Arabidopsis thaliana: one gene and its partners. The protein of the gene in region 1 interacts with the protein of each later gene in a pairwise test. Each region holds a gene or a part of one and is shown on either strand. Other genes may lie near its edges.

The links.
Region 2: the proteins of AT1G03457 (region 1) and AT3G21215 interact in a two-hybrid assay, tested with the Arabidopsis thaliana proteins (one large-scale study listed by BioGRID).
Region 3: the proteins of AT1G03457 (region 1) and GIP1 interact in a two-hybrid assay, tested with the Arabidopsis thaliana proteins (one large-scale study listed by BioGRID).

The regions. Positions count from the first base shown.
Region 1 is NC_003070.9:860,051-866,521, reverse strand, and holds AT1G03457 (RNA-binding (RRM/RBD/RNP motifs) family protein), read left to right. Parts: upstream 1-2,149; 5' UTR 2,150-2,502; coding exon 2,503-2,662; intron 2,663-2,909; exon of another isoform or gene 2,910-2,980; coding exon 2,981-3,063; intron 3,064-3,717; coding exon 3,718-3,769; intron 3,770-3,881; coding exon 3,882-4,034; intron 4,035-4,128; coding exon 4,129-4,208; intron 4,209-4,309; coding exon 4,310-4,480; intron 4,481-4,612; coding exon 4,613-4,916; intron 4,917-5,010; coding exon 5,011-5,154; intron 5,155-5,243; coding exon 5,244-5,413; 3' UTR 5,414-5,760; downstream 5,761-6,471. Other genes in the region: NET3A (Kinase interacting (KIP1-like) family protein), read left to right, coding at 1-305. UniProt on the Arabidopsis thaliana protein: RNA-binding protein involved in the regulation of flowering time. Acts as a repressor of the activity of SOC1, a transcriptional activator of flowering time.
Region 2 is NC_003074.8:7,440,692-7,447,484, reverse strand, and holds AT3G21215 (RNA-binding (RRM/RBD/RNP motifs) family protein), read left to right. Parts: upstream 1-2,172; 5' UTR 2,173-2,253; coding exon 2,254-2,424; intron 2,425-2,747; coding exon 2,748-2,927; intron 2,928-3,006; coding exon 3,007-3,082; intron 3,083-3,279; coding exon 3,280-3,409; intron 3,410-3,525; coding exon 3,526-3,640; intron 3,641-3,963; coding exon 3,964-4,055; intron 4,056-4,171; coding exon 4,172-4,241; intron 4,242-4,329; coding exon 4,330-4,412; coding exon of another isoform or gene 4,413-4,449; exon of another isoform or gene 4,450-4,509; coding exon 4,510-4,612; 3' UTR 4,613-6,034; downstream 6,035-6,793. Other genes in the region: MKK5 (MAP kinase kinase 5), read right to left, coding at 522-1,568; AT3G21210 (zinc ion binding protein), read left to right, coding at 6,729-6,793.
Region 3 is NC_003074.8:4,250,421-4,256,264, reverse strand, and holds GIP1 (GBF-interacting protein 1), read left to right. Parts: upstream 1-1,986; 5' UTR 1,987-2,058; coding exon 2,059-2,236; intron 2,237-2,692; coding exon 2,693-2,736; intron 2,737-2,854; coding exon 2,855-2,921; intron 2,922-3,001; coding exon 3,002-3,128; intron 3,129-3,209; coding exon 3,210-3,463; intron 3,464-3,592; coding exon 3,593-3,833; intron 3,834-3,963; coding exon 3,964-4,126; intron 4,127-4,273; coding exon 4,274-4,681; intron 4,682-4,756; coding exon 4,757-4,978; 3' UTR 4,979-5,307; downstream 5,308-5,844. Other genes in the region: AT3G13224 (RNA-binding (RRM/RBD/RNP motifs) family protein), read right to left, coding at 1-183, 410-579, 674-779, 881-1,044, 1,180-1,220, 1,362-1,417; ABCG26 (ABC-2 type transporter family protein), read left to right, coding at 5,562-5,759, 5,839-5,844. UniProt on the Arabidopsis thaliana protein: Plant specific protein that enhances G-box-binding factor (GBF) DNA binding activity. May function as a nuclear chaperone or lever and regulate the multimeric state of GBFs. May contribute to bZIP-mediated gene regulation.

The DNA of each region.
Region 1 (6,471 bases):
GAGAGGAGAATAAGGTTTACAGTGAAATGGTGAGAGAGAAAGATGAAGAGAAGAGAGAAGCTATAAGGCAAATGAGTGTAGCAATACAAATGCTTAAAGAAGAGAACTCAGAGCTTAAGAAACGTGTTACCAATACTGTTGTTGCAAGGCGTAATAAGGAAGGTGGTGATTCTCAGAGGAAGCAACAGATGTGGAAGCCATTTGAGTTTAAGAAGATTAAGCTTGAAGGGTTATGGGGGAAAGGCTTTGGCAATTGGGCTCTCCCAAACACAGATTCTACTTCCAAAGAGCTCATGACTCTTTAGAGGAGACAGAGAGGTCCGAGTGATCAAGAACAGAAACTGAGGAACTTTCTCTAAATATCTTTGTACTCTGTGATAGGTAGGGTATACTCTCAACTAGTTAGCGTAAGGTATATCATAGGATTGTAGTTATACCTAAGTCCATGGATGTTTGTTACATTTTCTATTGTTCGTTTCTTGTTTAAATATAATTGTCTTTCTTTTGAAATCAATTGTTTTGTTCTTTAATATCTGTAAGTTTGTTTTCTTTTACTTTATGTGTGTAATAAATGGTGATAAGAAGTTGTTGTTTAAAAGGTTTGACCATTATTTTAGATTTTCATAATGTTCTTCTATATGATTGTGGTTTTGTCGAATGATATTCTTTTATATGATCATAAGTCTGAAGACTTTTGGGTCTCACTATGAGGATAAGTAAATTTCCCAAAGATCTGCAAATTTGAAATGCCAGAGACTGGTGAGATGTAGAATCTAACTTTGTTTTTACATAAGCACGTTATCTACTATCTACAGATTGGATATAGATTAATCTAACAACGTATACATATTTTAGTAGACTAATGAATACTTGATTGATATGTCAAACTTTTTCATTGACTTCTTTCATGAAATGCAATAGAAATATTATCATTTACTCACAGAGTAACAGTGGAGATTCTTTTAATACGTTTTCATGCTAAATTAAGCGGCCGAGTGGTTTTTTCTTCTTAATTACTACTACACTATTATCGTTTATCAATGACTAATTCACACAAACATGCACAAAAACCAGAAAACAAGTGGGGTCAAAACGTAAACTAAATAAAGTCAGCGGCCTTCTTTGTGAAATTTGATGTAAGAATCGGAGCTGATGTGGTTATTTATTTCCGAATGGCAAGGACAGTCTGTCATATTTATGTTTTTGCCACTAGTATTTCCTTATATTTACGACACTCTACCCTTATTTCAGTGTCCTCTACTCGTTGTCACTGAAAAATGAAAATGACCTCTCGTGTATGGATATAAATTCTACGGTCAACTAGTATAGTCGTATTTATTTCTATAACTATTTCTCGATTTACTTACTTTTAATTTTTTTTTTTACAAATCTAGAATTGGTCATTGGATTCTCCGTTCCAAAAATAAATAATATGTTACATTAATATAACACATATTATTATTCACTTCATCACTTGTTACAAATAGGATTGGATTGATTTTAATTTAGTTGTATGGTGCGAAAACGATAAAAATGTTTATATTCAATTTAAGTTAAAAATGACAGTTTGCATTTGGAGTTGGTTTGGCTAGATTGAAATGTCCAAACCCTCTTTTCAATGGTGTAATATATTATTGTCTAAAGCTAAAATATATATATTATATAAAATAATTAATATGGAAATTTATAGCCGTGTCCATGTGTATTGTCAAATACTCAAATTTCAACTGCTCAAAAGAAAAAAAAGGTTTTTCTTTTTGTGTTTGTAACTGTGTATGTTTGATTTGGACCTTTAAACAAACCTACACTTTTTATTATTAATAAAGAATTAAATATATAAAAATTTTAGTGATAAAAATATTAGGACATATATCTATCACTACTTTAACGTCAGATGATCATATCCATTATAAGGAGGAATTGATAAAAAAAAATATTAGAATAAAGGTAGACTAACTTTAACAAACGATATCCAACATAAACAAAATACTCACTTTTCTTTAAACCAAACGACAATAAAAATCCAAAAAAAAACTAAACATAAACTAACATTTTGAGTTTTAATGCAGAAGACTGAAGAAATGACAGCTATTTAATTTAAACATAACAAAAAAAATAGTCAGCTTATTCACACACTCCATATTAAAACAAAAACGCGGATAAAATGGTAAATTCGGCATGACAACACATCCATAATCAGACAAAACAATCCGAAAGTGTTCCCCTGGCATCCCACAGGCTCGCCTTCTTGTTTAATTGAACAGCTGTTTTAATGGCAATATCGTAAATTTAGTAATAACGACGAGCCCAGATTTAGTCCGTATTTTAATTTAACCACTTTGTCACCCATTAGTTAGTAGTTCTCTCATTTTTTTTTCTTATTATTATTATTTTTTCCAAAAAAAAGAAAGTAAATAAATAAATATTCAGGAAGAAAAAGCCTGTAGAGAGAGAAGAAGAAGAAGAAGAAGAAGAAGACGACGAAGTCGAGAGAAAGAAATAATGGCGGAGGAGACGATGGAGAACGAAGAGAGGGTGAAGCTGTTCGTCGGACAAGTTCCGAAGCACATGACGGAGATTCAGCTCCTCACATTGTTTCGAGAATTCTCCATCGTCAATGAAGTCAACATCATTAAAGAGAAGACAACACGAGCTCCTCGAGGTTTTTTTTTAATAAAAAAATTCCTCTGTTTTCTCCCAAAGAACGTTACTTTTGATATCTTTTTGTTTTTTTTCTTAGAAGTTTTTCTCTGTTTCGAGGATACTTGTAGATGGTTTTTCGATTCGTCTGATTTTGGATTCTGAAAACCCTAATTTTCTCCGTTTCATTCGTTTAATTTGAACTCTGTTTTTTTCTTTCTTTAATTTGGAAGTTCCCCTGTTTTTTTTTTTTTTTGTTCTTTTTTATTGCGCGTGATTTCTTCGTTGCTTTTATTTTATTTTTGAATTGTGAAAACCCTAATTTCTTGTGGAATTGTAGGATGTTGTTTTCTGACATGTCCTACAAGGGAAGATGCTGACAAGGTGATCAATAGTTTTCATAACAAGAAGACATTGCCTGGGGTAAGTCTTCTTTCTTGTTACCATTCTTGAAGCTGTTTTGCTTAATTTTCTGGGATTTTCTGATATTTGAATCTGATGTTTCTGTGTACATCAAAACTACTTAAGGTGACATTTTTTCAAGCTACTGATTAAAATCTCAGATTGATTTTTCTTCTTTTTATCCGTCTCGATCTGCATTGTACTTGATTATTGTCCCTGTTAATTTTGCATGTTGTTGCTTGGTTATATATATCATATATCCATCGAGGTGAAATCATGAATCTGATTTGGCTGATCAGAATCTGCCCTATCAGTTATTGTAATCTGATGATACTAGTTCGTTTCAAATCCTCTCTAGCTGATTTCTTCAAACCCAAGAAACCACATTGGTCCACTATAGATGTATGTCAGTGGTCACTAAAACGTGCAAGATGCAAAAAGCTAGAACATCTCTAGGAATGAGATTATAGGAACCCAAATACCAAGAGAAAACTTTTGCTTCATTGTGTTGACTTTTTGTTGAGCGATCTTTAACAAAAATTTGGTGTATATATATATCCTTGCTTCTTTCGATTTTTCTGTGGCCGGTATCTGAACATTAGGATGCTTATGGGCTATGTACACTCTTATCCCTCTCTCGAATTATAGAATTCACTTTCTTATGATATGTTTCAGGCATCTAGTCCGTTGCAAGTTAAGTATGCAGATGGCGAGTTGGAAAGACTAGGTACGCAAAATGCTTCTGAGTGATGAAGTCTAAGCACCAAAAGAGTTCTTTTTTTCTTTCTTTCCAGAGTTTGGTCGCATTTTTTAATTTTTGATACCAATCAATTTGATAGATGTTCTTGACTGTTCGTGCAATCCAGAGCACAAACTTTTCGTCGGTATGCTTCCAAAGAATGTCTCTGAAACTGAAGTCCAGTCCTTATTCTCTGAATACGGAACCATTAAGGATCTACAGATTCTAAGAGGGTCTCTACAAACTAGCAAAGGTATGTATCTCCACTTGCTTATGCATCTATAGCAAGCACTCTATACCAGAGTTCTGACTGACTTTAATTATTTGGTTCATTTGGATTATTTTAGGCTGTCTGTTTCTAAAGTACGAGTCTAAAGAACAAGCGGTCGCAGCTATGGAAGCCCTCAACGGAAGACATATAATGGAGGTATGTGCTTATTACATATACTTCTCTCGAACATTCTTGTTATTTTATAAAGACTTGTATGGAGAGTGTGACAATATCACATTCTTTTTTTCTTCTTTTAGGGAGCAAATGTTCCTTTGATTGTTAAATGGGCAGACACAGAAAAGGAAAGACAAGCTCGAAGACTTCTAAAAGTTCAATCTCATGTCTCCAGACTCGATCCGCAAAACCCCTCCATGTTTGGAGCATTACCTATGAGTTATGTTCCTCCTTACAATGGATATGGCTATCATGTAAGTTCTTGTTTTCTCATCTACTTGGATTGAACTTTTTGGACTCATGAGGTTTGAAAAAGCTGTAGAGATTGGTGTATTTTGGTTGCAAGACTTTTTTTATTTGATCCTTAAAACTTTTCTCTATAACAGGTGCCTGGAACTTATGGCTACATGCTACCACCTATCCAGACTCAACATGCATTTCACAATGTGATTTCACCTAACCAAGGTAACGGCAGGGCATTGCAGGGAACCGCTTTGACAGAGTCTGTCCCACCACGTTTGGCCCCCCGCAGAAACTTCCCAACGGCTCTTGGAAATTACGGTTACCATGGTCTTCAATATCCTATGGCATTTCCTAGAGGGATGATACCTCCTCGCCTTCCTCTAACCACAGTTTCACCTGGAATTTCTAATAACGGCACATCGATACCTTCCTCGCTTCAAACAGAAGGTTTAGTTAGTCCAAAACAAGAACAAATAAGATTTTGATAAGTTTCTAGTCGTTATGTTACTGATATTTAAAGCAATTTCTTTGATGTTCTCAGGACCAGCAGGTGCGAATCTATTTATTTATAACATACCTCGGGAATTCGAGGATCAAGAACTCGCGGCTACGTTTCAACCTTTTGGTAAGGTTCTAAGCGCCAAGGTGTTTGTAGACAAGGCCACTGGTATAAGCAAATGTTTCGGTAAGCTCTTGCTTTCTTCCTCTATCATCTTCATTCTTTCCCCTAGACTCGAATTAACCGTTACGCAACCCTTTTGTTGCTGCACGCAGGATTCATTAGTTATGACTCACAGGCAGCTGCTCAGAACGCTATTAACACAATGAACGGTTGCCAATTAAGCGGTAAGAAATTGAAAGTCCAGCTTAAGAGAGACAACGGTCAACAGCAGCAACAACAACAGAGTAAAAACCCGTTATTTAACGGTTTATTAAACTCGTAAAAACCACTGACATCTCTTCATCATTAAGAGTTCGCTGTGCGGTTAACGGCAAATCCGGTTGAGACACTAAGATGGATCTTGATGGAACTGGAGAACAAAAAGTTGATGGCCGTAATTAACTAACATTTGCCAAGTCTGATCATGTGGGTCAGAAATTCTCAATCACTCAGAAAAGCTGTATCTTCATGCAAAAGGATTCTCTTCCACTCACTCTTCTTCTATTTTTCTCTTTTCTAAACTTTGTCAATTTGTGACTTATGTCTATCATTGAAAAGTTCATGTATAAATGTTATGATTATTAACCATTATAATTTCATTTATTAATCTTGTTCATTCTTAAAAGTCCCGTTCTTGAAGACTTCTTTAAGAATGTTTGATTGTAGTTTTTTTCCAGAAAATTGGAGGATTTTTCTCTCCTTGTTTTCTCTCTAACAGTATTGTTGTGCTTCTGCTCCCTGATGGATAAAACAGAGTCAACGATGTAATATATTCTTGACTATTAAGAAACTGCATATATACAAAAATGTTGCAATATTATAGATGAATTGATTAAAATGAATCAAGTAATGTTGAGTTGTTGACAATTCAAACATTTTATTTTCGTATCCTTTTTTTTTTAGTAGAGTAAAGATCAAAATATATAAAGAAATCAAAATGTTCTAAGACTTTAAATTTAAGTTTTTATATTAAATCTCAATATACAGCTCACATGTTATCATTTGGTAATTAAAATTATAGGTCCACATTTCATTTTAAAATTAAAATAGTCCTAATATATTTTAATTACTTTTAAAAATCAACAAAGGGTCCACAACTCATTAATTGATAATTAATATAATTATTATCTCTTATTTGGTATAATTAACTAAAAGGTCCACAATTATATTTTATATAAATGACTGTATATTATATTCTTCTTCTTTTGGCAGTAAATATATTTCTTATAAATGGGAGGTCGTATTCTTAAATAAATTACAATGAACATACATTTTTAATTAATAAAATAGATTGATTTTTCGGAAAGAAATCTAGTCATTATGAAAATTAGAGAGTTGGAA
Region 2 (6,793 bases), on another chromosome or scaffold:
AAACAAAAGTTCCTAAACAAGCTTTCAACTTTTACCGCAATAATTAGACCATAACTGGCAAAGAAAAAATAACGCAGTAGGCACTAGGGTAGCCTTTGTAATGTTCACAAGACGGAAACTAGAAAACCATAAAGAGAATTAAAGGAAGAAGCTTTATTAATGAGAATTATCCAATGAAAGATCCTCCATTTACTTCCTTATATAAACAATAATATAAGCAAATCCAGCTAAAATCACTCTTAAACCATAAGAATTCTTCTTGTCTATTTTTTTGTTTCCATTTCTAGCAAAACATTCTTCATTACCCATAAGACAAATCAAGCTTAGCAGCATAAGATAAAGACTCAATAAACCCTAACCACAAACTGAGTTTCTTCCTGACGACTCATACCCCAATCACAAACCACATTGTTCTTCTACTCTTCTCATTATCTTTGCTTGGGGTATGCAAAACTTATGGAAAAATGTCAGGAAAAACTACGAAAAATTGAAAAACAAGAAAGACGAAAATGGTAGAAACACTAAGAGGCAGAAGGAAGAGGACGAGGCGGCGGCAACATTTGACGGAGATTAGGACCACCGGTAGCTTTAAGTATGAAAGGATGCTGCAAAAGCTGTTGAGCTGACCATCTCTTAGGAGGATCACTCTGTAAACAACAAGAAACAAAGTGACGAAACTCCTGAGACGCCGTAGCCGGAGCTTCAGGTGGCTGAGACATACAAATAGCACACATAAGACTAGCCCAATCACCTTGTCTACTCACAGCAAAAGGAAACCTCCCCAAGTAAAACTCCAAGATACTAACACCTAAACTCCAAACATCTCCAGCATAACCATCGTAACGACCATGATTCAAATCAGTATTAATCCTCTCAGGACTCATATAAGCAATAGTACCAACAGATGAATTACAAGGATCCATTGTTTGTGCCAAGATCCTACTCACACCAAAATCAGCAATTTTCACATTTTTAGCTGAGTTTATAAGAAGATTCGAAGGTTTGATATCACGATGAACGATATGACGACGATGAAGATAAGCTAATCCACTAAGAATCTGACGAGAGAGATCAGCTAATTCCTGTTCTTGCCATATATGAGCTCCTTCAAGAGATCCTTGATCCATAAACTCAAGCAAAACCTGGATCTCACCGTTATGATCAAACATATCGTGACATTTCACAACGTTTGGATGATCAACACTTCTTAAGATCTCGATCTCTCTACAGATCTGACGTCTCACGGTATCTTCGTGGTTTCCGTAAATCACTTTGAGAGCGAAAGGACGTGACGTCGGAGTGTGGATTACTTTGTAAACCGTTCCTCCGGCTCCGCTTCCGATTCGGTTCACTCGTTCTAGCTCGGATAAGCTTTTAGCGGCGGAGATGTTGGTTGAGATCGCGGAGGAAGACGCCGGAGCGGATGAAGAGGAAGAAGGAGGTGGGAGAGGGAGAGGTACGGCGAGAGCGACGTCGCGGTGTGGGAGTGGTAAGCTTAGGTCAGGACGTTTGCGTAAACGGTTCTTCATAGGTGAAGCTACTCCAGAAGGAGATTGAATCGGTTTCATGGCTTTTAGAAGAAGAGGGAATCAAAAGTTTTTTTTTTTTTTCACAAGGTTGATTCTTTATCTTCCAGGTTTGTATTTATCATCATGATTGACTTGACTCTAGGGTTTGTTTGATTCGTCGTTTTTCAAAGAGATCAAATCAAGAGGAGAATGAAGCTTCATCGAAGAGATTTGTGAAAATGATTGTAAGAAACAAGAAAAAAAAAAAAAGTTAAAATGGTAAGACGAAGGTACGCGTTGATGGAAAGAGCGTGGAATACACTCGCACTTGTGTGGCTCTGTGTTGTTACACGTTAACCATGTTTTTTGTTTGGTCGGGTCTGAATTGGATTATAATATCATTAAGAGTGTTTAAGATCGTGGATTTAGATACTATAAATTTGGTGTTAGGTATTTAATATTTTTAGAAAGTAAGAAAATACAGATTAAAGTTTCTTTCCAATAAAAACAATTGAAAAAAGAAAAACTTAAAGTAATTATAATTCTAAAAAAATTAAAAACTAATTTTCTTTTTAAAGTTTTTAACAGAAAAAGAAAGAAATAAAATTAAAGTGGTACAGTGTTCACGTGCGATGCATGTGACTTAAAAAATAAGTTTGCCTTCTTTGCCGTCAATTCTTCCGCAGAAGTTTTTTCGAACAATCAATCTCTGACTCTCTGAGTAATTAGGTTTTTTTTTTATCTCATGGCCGGCGCCGGAATCCACCCATACCACCAGCAGTGGCCGCCGGCAGGTGCGCCGCCTCCTCCAGCCGCAGTATCATCAGCTGCTCCACCACATCCGCCGCCCATTCATCACCATCCTCCTCCTCCTCCTGTTTTAGTTGACAACCATAATCGTCCTCCTTATGACGAGGTTCAACTCTTTCTCTTTCTCTCTATACATATCGGTGATTCTTGTGCTGTGTTGTCGAGATGGGCTTGCTTGATTTTTGTTTACGTTGAGGTTTTAATTTGCCTGCTTTTTGATATACAATGTTAGCTTGATTTTGCTACGGAATCGATAAATTGTCCAAAGTTATGACCTTTTTGATAAGAATGATTTTTAAGTTTGTTACTAAAATCTCACTTATGACCTGTTGCATAAGTGAGAAAGGTTCTCTTATCTTGTCATGTAGTTGGAGTTTTCTGATTTTGGGAAAACGTGATCTCTTACACAAGTTTGAATCTGTTGTTCAGCTGCGGACAATCTTCATCGCAGGGCTTCCCGATGATGTAAAAGAGAGAGAGCTTTTGAATCTCTTGAGATGGTTGCCTGGTTACGAGGCTTCTCAGGTGAACTTCAAGGGAGAAAAGCCCATGGGGTTTGCTCTTTTCTCCACAGCTCAGTTTGCAATGGCAGCCAAAGATACCCTTCAGGTCTGTCTGCTTCTGATCATTGTTGACTCAGATCCTTTTTTGTCTTCACATTATGACATATGTTGTTCTTGGCATGCAGCATATGGTGTTTGATGCTGAGTCAAAGTCTGTGATACATACAGAGATGGCCAAGAAGAATCTTTTTGTTAAAAGAGGTTAGCTCTACCTTTATGACATAAAATGGCTGTATTTTATCTATCTTAAGCATTAGTCATGTTACTGAAGCATGTTTGATACAGTTTTGTGCATTTATACGGGGTCTCACTACACTCTCCCCTTTATCTAGTTTCTTACTTCCTTTGTTAATATCACAAACCATATATAACCTTTGAACTCAATCTTTATTCTGTAGGTATTGTTGGGGATTCAAATGCTTATGATCAAAGTAAGCGCCTACGAACTGGTGGTGACTGCACACACTCTGTGTATAGTCCATCTCCTTTCCATCCTCCACCTCCTCCTGTGTGGGGACCTCCTCATGGGTTAGGCATTTGCTTCTCCTTCATATTTCATATGCTGTGTAGAAATTGGACGATGTGTATTTGGTACACCGTTTTATGTTAAGTTGCTTATTTGACAAGAAGATAAATTGGTTCAGATATATGGCACCTGCACCTCCACCATATGATCCCTATGCAGGTTATCATGCTCCCCCTGTACCAATGCCTACGCCCCCACCTATAGCAGCTCCTAGTTCTTATGTGCCTGTCCAGGTGAAGTTGCACTGTTTTCATCATTTTATTTATCATATGGTGGTTGTGCAATTATATACCCGGAATCCATATTGTACTTGCCTCTCCTTGCCTAAAAATTACAATCTCGAACTTCATTCTAATTAGCTTACATGCTATACTCTCTGGTGGTTGTGTTGTGGAACAATAGTTGTTGCCTAATTTAAATGCATTGTCTACTGCTCTGAATTTGCTAAAGTTTCTGATTGTTTGATAAATTTTGTACCTAGTTTGATGAATATCTAGCCTAGGTTTGGTGATCTGATATATGTCTCATGTTGTTTTCAAATTTTTTTCAATTGCAGAATATTAAGGATAATCCACCTTGCAATACCCTATTTATTGGTAATCTTGGGGAGAATATAAACGAAGAAGAATTGAGGAGCCTGTTGAGTGCGTGAGTATCTGTTCCCTTTAGTGAGACTCCTGTCCATTGCTTTCCTTGAGATCTTGGCCTTTTTGTAGACCTGTGTTCTCAAGAATTCTGCGGTAAACTGTACTTTCATTTTGCAGGCAACCTGGTTTCAAACAAATGAAGATTCTGAGACAAGAAAGGCATACAGTTTGCTTTATTGAATTCGAGGTTAACTCTGAGACCTTCACCATCTGTGTATATGTGACAGAAAATATTCTTCTAGCATATTGTTAAATTCTTCTATCTGGACTTGCAGGATGTCAATAGTGCCACAAATGTTCACCATAATTTGCAAGGTGCTGTCATTCCAAGTTCTGGTTCAATTGGCATGAGGATCCAATATCCTTATATACTTTTACTCTTTCTGATTATTTAATATTCCAGTATGCCAAGTTCTTTTTTCTTTTCTGTTTGATTCTTCTTAACCCAATGATACATATTCAAAGAATCCATATGGGAAGAGAAAGGAAGGTGGCGGCTATTCTTTCTTTCCTTCTCCGAGTGCTAATGGAGCCCAAGGAGCCCTGACATATCAGTAGGCCTTGAAGGGGGACGTACTCTCTTCCTTATCTCCCAACAACTGCACGAATACGATGCATCTTCCAGGCAGTCTGCATTTCATCCATTTCCATTCTCGACATTTTTAAGCATCAGCATTGCTTTGTCATGTGTTGGGTGCATATAGTGTGACCTCATCAACATATAACATGTTTCAGTTTCTATTAGCTCTGCTACATGCATTCGCAGTGTGGTTTTTGATGATTGTTTGAATTATATAGGAGTTTGGTTTGCTATTTGTTTATCTTATTGCGGCTTTAATACATCACTTTGTGGGATTCATTTTCATCATTCTGATCGATTCATCCTAATGAAACGTTAGCTAGGAAAAAACATAACATTACATTAGATCATAACATGATAACATCCGGAGGCCTTCCATCAACTTCGTTTCACTGCATGGACACGGAATGTTGCTCTCATGATTGATTCATCCTAACGAAACTCCATTTGCTATGTTAGCTGATATACCATTACATTAGATCATAACATGATAACATCCAGAGGGGTTTGATCAACTTCGTTTCACTGCATAGACATGGAATATTACTCTCATGATCTATCACATCGGTTTCATTCTTCAGCATTTCCCATGTCGATCATTCTCTGTTCTTACTTAGGCTGATGAACAAGCACATCCGTTTTGTCAGAAGTTGACAGCTGATATAACATTTGAAGATAGGCATTCCATTACATTGTAGGTTTATTATAGTTGAGCAAACATATATACATTCCCAGCTCTGGCTTGGCCTTATGCAGGGACAATCCGTAAAGAGAAAGCCCAAGCTCTCGAATAGAGATGCGTTTCACCTACAAAGTTGAGGTAAGGTCATCTTCGGACGTCCAGGAACAGAGCCAGGAGTTCCTAAGAGCCTATCTTTTTACAATGGAGTCTACTTATCCAATCCAACTTATCTCTTTTCTAACTGATGTTTCTGTACGGCTTTGGGCTACTTGACTCTGGATGTGAAAACCAGAAGCGAATTTAGTGATTCTTCAAATGAGAAAGTTTCTCTTCCATTTTCAAGAACAATGTGTGTATAATTGGTCGCTTACTTATCAGATTTTGAGGTATAGGATCTCTAGGGCCTAGTTTCATGTTTTGTTTCTCTGAATTCGAACCATGGTAAATTTGCTGTAAAGAGAGGTAGGTAATATAATTAACCCAAGAGACAACCCAAGAAGAATCGATAAAGGAGTGTCTCAACTCTCAAGTAAGAAACATGTTTTCATTATTATGATTGGCGAGTCTCAAGCTTTCATCACTGTAGACAACAAAGAAAAAGATTTGTTGCACAAAAGGGTTTGTGCATTCCTTAGACCAACTTTCCAGAGAAGCAAAACATCTAAAACCACAAAACCATGGTCTTAAAAGAAAATTCTTAAACGTCAGGTGTGTCTGAGCGCAGAACTGTCAAGAAAAACAAGATAAAGAGTTGGGAGGTTAATAAAAAGAAGAAAAAAAATATAAAACGGAACTGAGAGGTAAAAGATTGAAACCCCTCTTCAAGTTGTTCAAGTAAAGATCATCAAGCAAAAGGTAGAGATGTCGATCAAATTGGTGGAACAAACGCACGGAGAGGGAGGAGAATCGTGAGTAACGTGCCTGGTTTCTGAGGCTTTCCATCGGACCATTTTGGAGAGGGAGAAGTGAACCTTGTCGCGATTGATTGTTTCAGCTTTGAATGGTTCTTTGAGACGGATATACGCCGTCCCCATACTCGTTCTCAGCCCATTTTAGGCCTTTCTGAATTAGGCCCAAATACGTTTACGTGTTTTTAGAGGAAAACTTTCAACGTGCATGTCAAAGACAAATTGTTTGTTTATTTTCTCATCAAGCAAGACAGAGACTACTATTTTGCTTTTTTTAAAAGAAAACGATGTAGCATTTTCCTTGTCGAGAAGCTAAGGAAACCTGACAAAAATGCAAGGGATAACAAACGCATTAACCAAAGTATAATTTTTTACAAGCAAAGAAACATTTGCACAAAACCCATAAATATAAACCTCATTATCCCATAATTAGCAATGCTGCATAACACATAATTTAAAAACCCTAAGAAAAAAATCGGAAGTTTGTGGAAGCAAGAAGAAGAAATGATGAATCCAGAATCCGATCATCCTTCATCTCCTCGTCAACGTAAGATTGGAATCGCCGTGGA
Region 3 (5,844 bases), on another chromosome or scaffold:
ACTAGCAGGACCTCCATGTGACCTAATGGGACCTGGAGGATGACCATACCCTCCATCAAAACCTCCGTAAGGTCCACCATAACTTGCATAACTATCGTTAGAAGAACGACCTCTAGGGTGACTACCGTAAGAAGGAGGTGAACGGTTTAGAGATTTCTTTGGTTCAGCTTTCTTGATCTCCACCTACAACAAAGCAACTTAATTAACCTAGCTATGCTAAGGACCCAAACTATAGCAGGGATTTCCTATCTTACTGTGACAAGCTCCTTACATTTGGTAAGCTAGTGGGTAGAATTCTAACTAAGTTAAACGTGTATAATGAAAGGAACAAGGAGAAAATATCAAATTGAAACCAAGATAAATATGTCATCATGAACCAAAATTCTAATCCCCATTTGTACAAGCTTACCTGAGTGTCTGCCATATCGATCATGTTTCCTTTGGACAATAATTCATCTACGACTTCTTCGCTATCAAAAATTACAAAACCAAAACCTCTGGACCTGTTTGTTTCATGGTCTCGAATAACCTGGTGCTCCACCACGTTCCCATACTTGGCAAAGAAGTCCTTAAGTTCATCTGATCAACAGAAAAAGAAACCAACTTCAATAAGGACAGGAAACCAGCATTCTCATGGAAAGCAAAAAAATATCATGCCAAGAGGGAGGTCTACCTTCTGTAACCGTTGAGGGTATACCACCAACGAAAATCTTCTTTGTTTTGATGTCCTTTGACTGATTGCCACCAGCACCTTTCGGAATAGTCCTTTTGATCTCAACCTGTTCCATCAAAACAAGGAAAAAAGTATTGATCAAGACCCAACACCCTACTAAAAATGAACACTATAAGCTAGTGAAGGAAGAAAAGAGAAGTGGCCGACCTGTTTGCCATTGATGACATGAGTATCTTCGATAACTTTGTCAACAACAGAAGGGTCAGCGAAGGTGATGAAACCGAAACCCCTAGGTTGTCCAGTATGTCGATCTCGCATAATGACAGAATCTGTAATCTCCCCGTACTTGCCAAAGTGCTTATTGAACACAGCTGCAATCAAAACCAAAGTGAGCAAGTAGAATCAACATTCCAACAGGTCTAACATCAGAAACACACACAAGAATCCATAACATAACAAAACTTAGAAACGCAATTTCTAGAACAAAACAAGAGGAAGAAACTTACTATTAGTCGTGTCTTTGTGCAATCCTCCAATGAATATTTTCCTGCAACACAAAAATTCCAAGCAAAACATAAATTAAACCTTAACCAACAATATAAAAAGAGTTACAAAGCCAACAGATTATGAGATATTTCCCTTAATCCTGTGGAATCAAACATGCAAGAGGTAGGAGAAGTAAACGTACCCAGGACTAGCGCCATCGCCGGACTGGAAATTATCATTACGAGATCTGGAACCCATCGCAGCTCCTAAATTCAGTTTTCGATTGAGCTAAAGGATCGAGAGAGACACCGAAAGCTAGGGTTTTGATAAGATCTGATGTCTCTTCATCTAATTAGAGGAGATAGCTAAATCGTGTAATATATATATATTCTTAAATTTGGACATCGACTTGTGGAAACAAAACAAAGTTAATATTTTTTTACACAGCTGTCTATTTTTCCTATTCTTGTAAAAAGACAAAAAAAAAAAAAGTAAATTGTTGACAGTGGGATTTGAACCCACGCCCTTTCGGACCAGAACCTTAATCTGGCGCCTTAGACCAACTCGGCCATATCAACTTTGTTGTCTCTCCTTCCATTAAACGCGTACAAAACAATCAAATAATGAGGAGGAAATCGATAAACAGTGACGTCAGCGTATAAATATACGTAGAGAGAGACATTAAGCGGTAGATTGTACGGAAATAAATAATAGTACTCAATCAAATAATGAGGAGGAAATTGATAAACAGTGACGTCAGCGTATAAATATACGTAGAGAGAGACATTAAGCGGTAGATTGTACGGAAATAAATAATAGTACTATATACGAAGTCTTTATGTTCAACCCATATTTCCTCTCTCCTCCTCCCTCCGCTTCTCTTTCTCTCTGTAACCAACATGAGCAGGATCAGCGGCGATGGCGGCTCTAGGGTTTCTATTCCGGCTGATCTGCTTCAAACCATTCAAAACATCAGAGAGGTTACCGGTAAACAACATTCCGACGAGGATATCTTCTCTGTCTTTAAGGAGTGTTTCAGTGATCCACATGAGACCACTCAGAAGCTTCTCTATTTAGGTTGTTTTACTGAGAAAGCTTCAGCATTTGTTTTTGTTTTAGTGTTTTTACTTCCTTTTTGTTGTATTGAGCGTGTGCTTCTCCTAGGGTTTTGTTTTGGATTTTGCTATTTAATGCCCTTTGTCGATTTTGGTCTTGTCTTAGAATCTGTGTGTTATGCTTAGAATCTTATGTTTTGTTTATTTAGATTTCTAATTGGTATAATATGTCTGGGGATGTTCAAATAAGGAATCTTTTTTACTGAAATGGAATATGTAGAATTTGGGTTCATGACTAAGAAACTGTCGTTTTAAATCTTTACCAATCTAGCTGGAATGTGGAAAGGGAATTTCTGTTTAGCTTTGATTGAGATTGGGCATCTGGGTTAAGTTTTGATTCTGTCTACTGTTTCAAGATCAACATAATCATGTACTTTGATAGCAGACATGTACTCATATATTATTACTGATCTTTCAGATACATTTCATGAGGTGAGAAGCAAACGGGAGAGAAAGAAAGAGGTAGCTTTCCTATGTTCTTTTGAATCCTTACTTTGCATTTTAAGTGTGGTCTTGAGTTCTCTGTTTAGCTTACATCATCTCGTTTCTCTTATGCCTTTATGTGTATTACCTGTTGTAGAATTTAGTGCCAAATACACAAGGAAGGGGCCGGACTGGACGGAAGAACTTTGCTTCAAGTTACACAGGTCATTGTGGTTTATGTTCTTTTACTTCTAAACTTGTGTTCTATATTTCCTTCCTTGATTCAAGCTCTTTGTTGATTCAGATGCCAGTAATGGAAGAAGTGCAGCTTTTAAAAAGCAGAGTGGAGCTAATCACATAATAGGAGGTTCTGGAACTGCTTCGTCTGCTCCTAACAATGCAAGAAACGACACAAAACCTTCTTCCATAATGTATCCATACTTTTAATTCTGTCTATGTCTTTAATTCCCTCTTTGGATATGGGCTTCCTAACGCATTCTATTCTTTTTCAGGGCCCCGAACCCTATAAGTCTTCCAAGTGGAATCAGTAACCAGAAAATTCAAGATGCTATCATATCCCCTGTGGACAAGGTGGACACAGAGGAACAGCCTCTCTCCAAGGCTACTTCTTCTTCTAAGGATGTTGTTGAGCCGGATAAGTCTAAAGAAAGTAGTGTATCAGTGGCTGTATCAGATTCTGTTGTAGAAAACGATACTCAATATGCTGTAGTTGAAACTTTTCAGATCCCACAACAGTCCGAGCGAGGTATAAATTATACCATATAATTACTTGCCTGCTAATGTTGCTTTAAGTGCATTCTGTATTCTGTTAAGTTGTTCCTGAGTTTGATTACAGCCTCTTATGTGATTCGACGTATGGCTTTATTTGGAACAGTCATTAAGAGTGAGGTTGCAGCCAGTAAATGCAAGAATGAGTCGCTTCTCAAGTCGGATGTTGGTGAACGGCCGCACGTAACATTTCCTGTCCACATTCAGGTTGCCAAAATGCTGGAAAATGGTCTGACATTTGGGAGCTTCGATTCTAATTTTGTGAGAGAGGCATCTTCTGACAAGTTTACTATTGGGTGTGATGACTCCAATATTGAGTCTTCTCATGGGACAGCCGCATCAGCTAGGTTGGTGACTAATAGCTACTTTGAGTAAATCTTACAGTGTTACTTGCTTCAATATTCTCATGAATTGATCTAGAGTCTCAGATGAATGAGTTTCTGATATGAATACCTTTATATGAAACTTGGTTTGCAGGAAAGATATATCAACTTTTTCTCAGGATAAGAATCATGAGATTTCAAATTCAGCAGCTCAGAACGAGTTAACATTGCAGCCAGATCAAACTGTTCTCCCTGAAGAAGGTTCAGAAGGAGATAAAGTAAAGAACGAGGTTTTACCAATCACAGACACTCATCAGGTTGGTTATTATCAAGAAGCCCCACACAATGTCTTTTTAGTCTTGTGCATTCATTGTCAGCATCAGGCCAACCGCGTGGTTTTTCTAGCCAGGAAATATGAACACAATGCTTAATCACTGTCTTTTATATTTTGTTGATAATTGCAGGCTGCAAAGTGTGATGCTCCACCTATCTCCTATCCTGATCAGTATTCCTTAGCAGCCGCTCAACAGGCAATGCACCTTTATAGGCAACAATACTCTCTTAACTATTTCCCTTATGGTCCATATTTCCCCCCTTATTATATGCCGCAACCATACATTCACCAGTACTTGAGCCCAAATGGGTTCCAACAACAGTCTTACTTACCACCCGGAGATGATGCTCCAGCACCTCCAGGGGCTGAACTACCTCTCACTCACATCAAACCCGGAAGCGACATTGGAAACTCTCCACCTACCACGATTCCATTCTCATATACTTCATACGCCTTCAACCACATCCCATCAGCAGCCACCATAAATGCTACTCACAAGGAAGAAAAGAAGGAAAACATGTACACAACTGGACCACTGGTTAGTTTTTCTCTGACTCTCCCCACTGTCATTGCATGTTATGCTATAGTTTTTTAACACGGCTCCATGTAGCAGAGTCTAGCCAATCTGCAGGCCAGTCCCATGTACAACTTATCCCTTCAAGGTCAGCCTATAGCTTTCCCAACCATGCAGGCTGGGATCCGTGGGTTATATCAACAAACACAGCCAATACTGGCGCCTCTATCTATATCTGCGAGGACTGAACCCATAGGACCATCGCACGTAACTAATCAGCAACCTCAAGCTGCACGAACAAATCTGGGAAACAACTACTAGGTCAAGGAGTATTACTAGAAAGATGCATATTCAGATTGGTACGAGATGTTTAAGTCTGGAATTTTGAGTGATTTTGTGTACATACTTAGGATACATCACCCCCCAAGAAGAAGATTAGTATTTGGCAAGGGGACAAGAGAATTGGTGCCTTTTGTTTTTTCAATTTTTGTGAGTGCCACAAACCGCTTTGATCTCGTTTATCTGTAATTCTTCCGAATCTTACAATATAATCAAGTGATCAGTTTATATGAGCAAGTGGACATTTATTCTCGTACGTTGTGATCGTCAATGAGCAAGCCAAGTCGATAAATGTAAATGATTTTAGTACCATATAAAGTATATTGAAATTAATATAGTTTCATTTGCTCCTTGTTCAAGTCAACAAATGCATTCAATTTAATACAAAAACATTGAAAGAATGTGGTCTACCAAACTAACACCCTGATAAACAGAGAGAAAAAGAGAACACAAAAAGCAAGAAAGTTTCAGGTTTGACACAGTTGATCCACACACTTCTTCCGTTATATAACACAAGCCTACATTCATAACAATTTTCTTGTGGAACAAGAATAAGAAAGATAACATGGAGATCAGAAGATCAACAGAAGAAGTTGAAGAGAATCATGTAATGCAGATTACAGGAAGCAATGGCATAGTTCACAACATGGAGTTCATGCCACAAGCTTACCTCAGAAACCAATACTCATCCGAGATTGACATTGATGAAGAGTTCGTTTCCACTTATCCTCTCGAAGATGCCCCTCTTCCCATCTTTCTCAAGGTTCAACTTTCTCTTTTGCTTTCGATTTTCCTTCATTAAGACAAAGCTTATTGGTTTCGCCTCTTTTATTTATATGCAGTTTGAA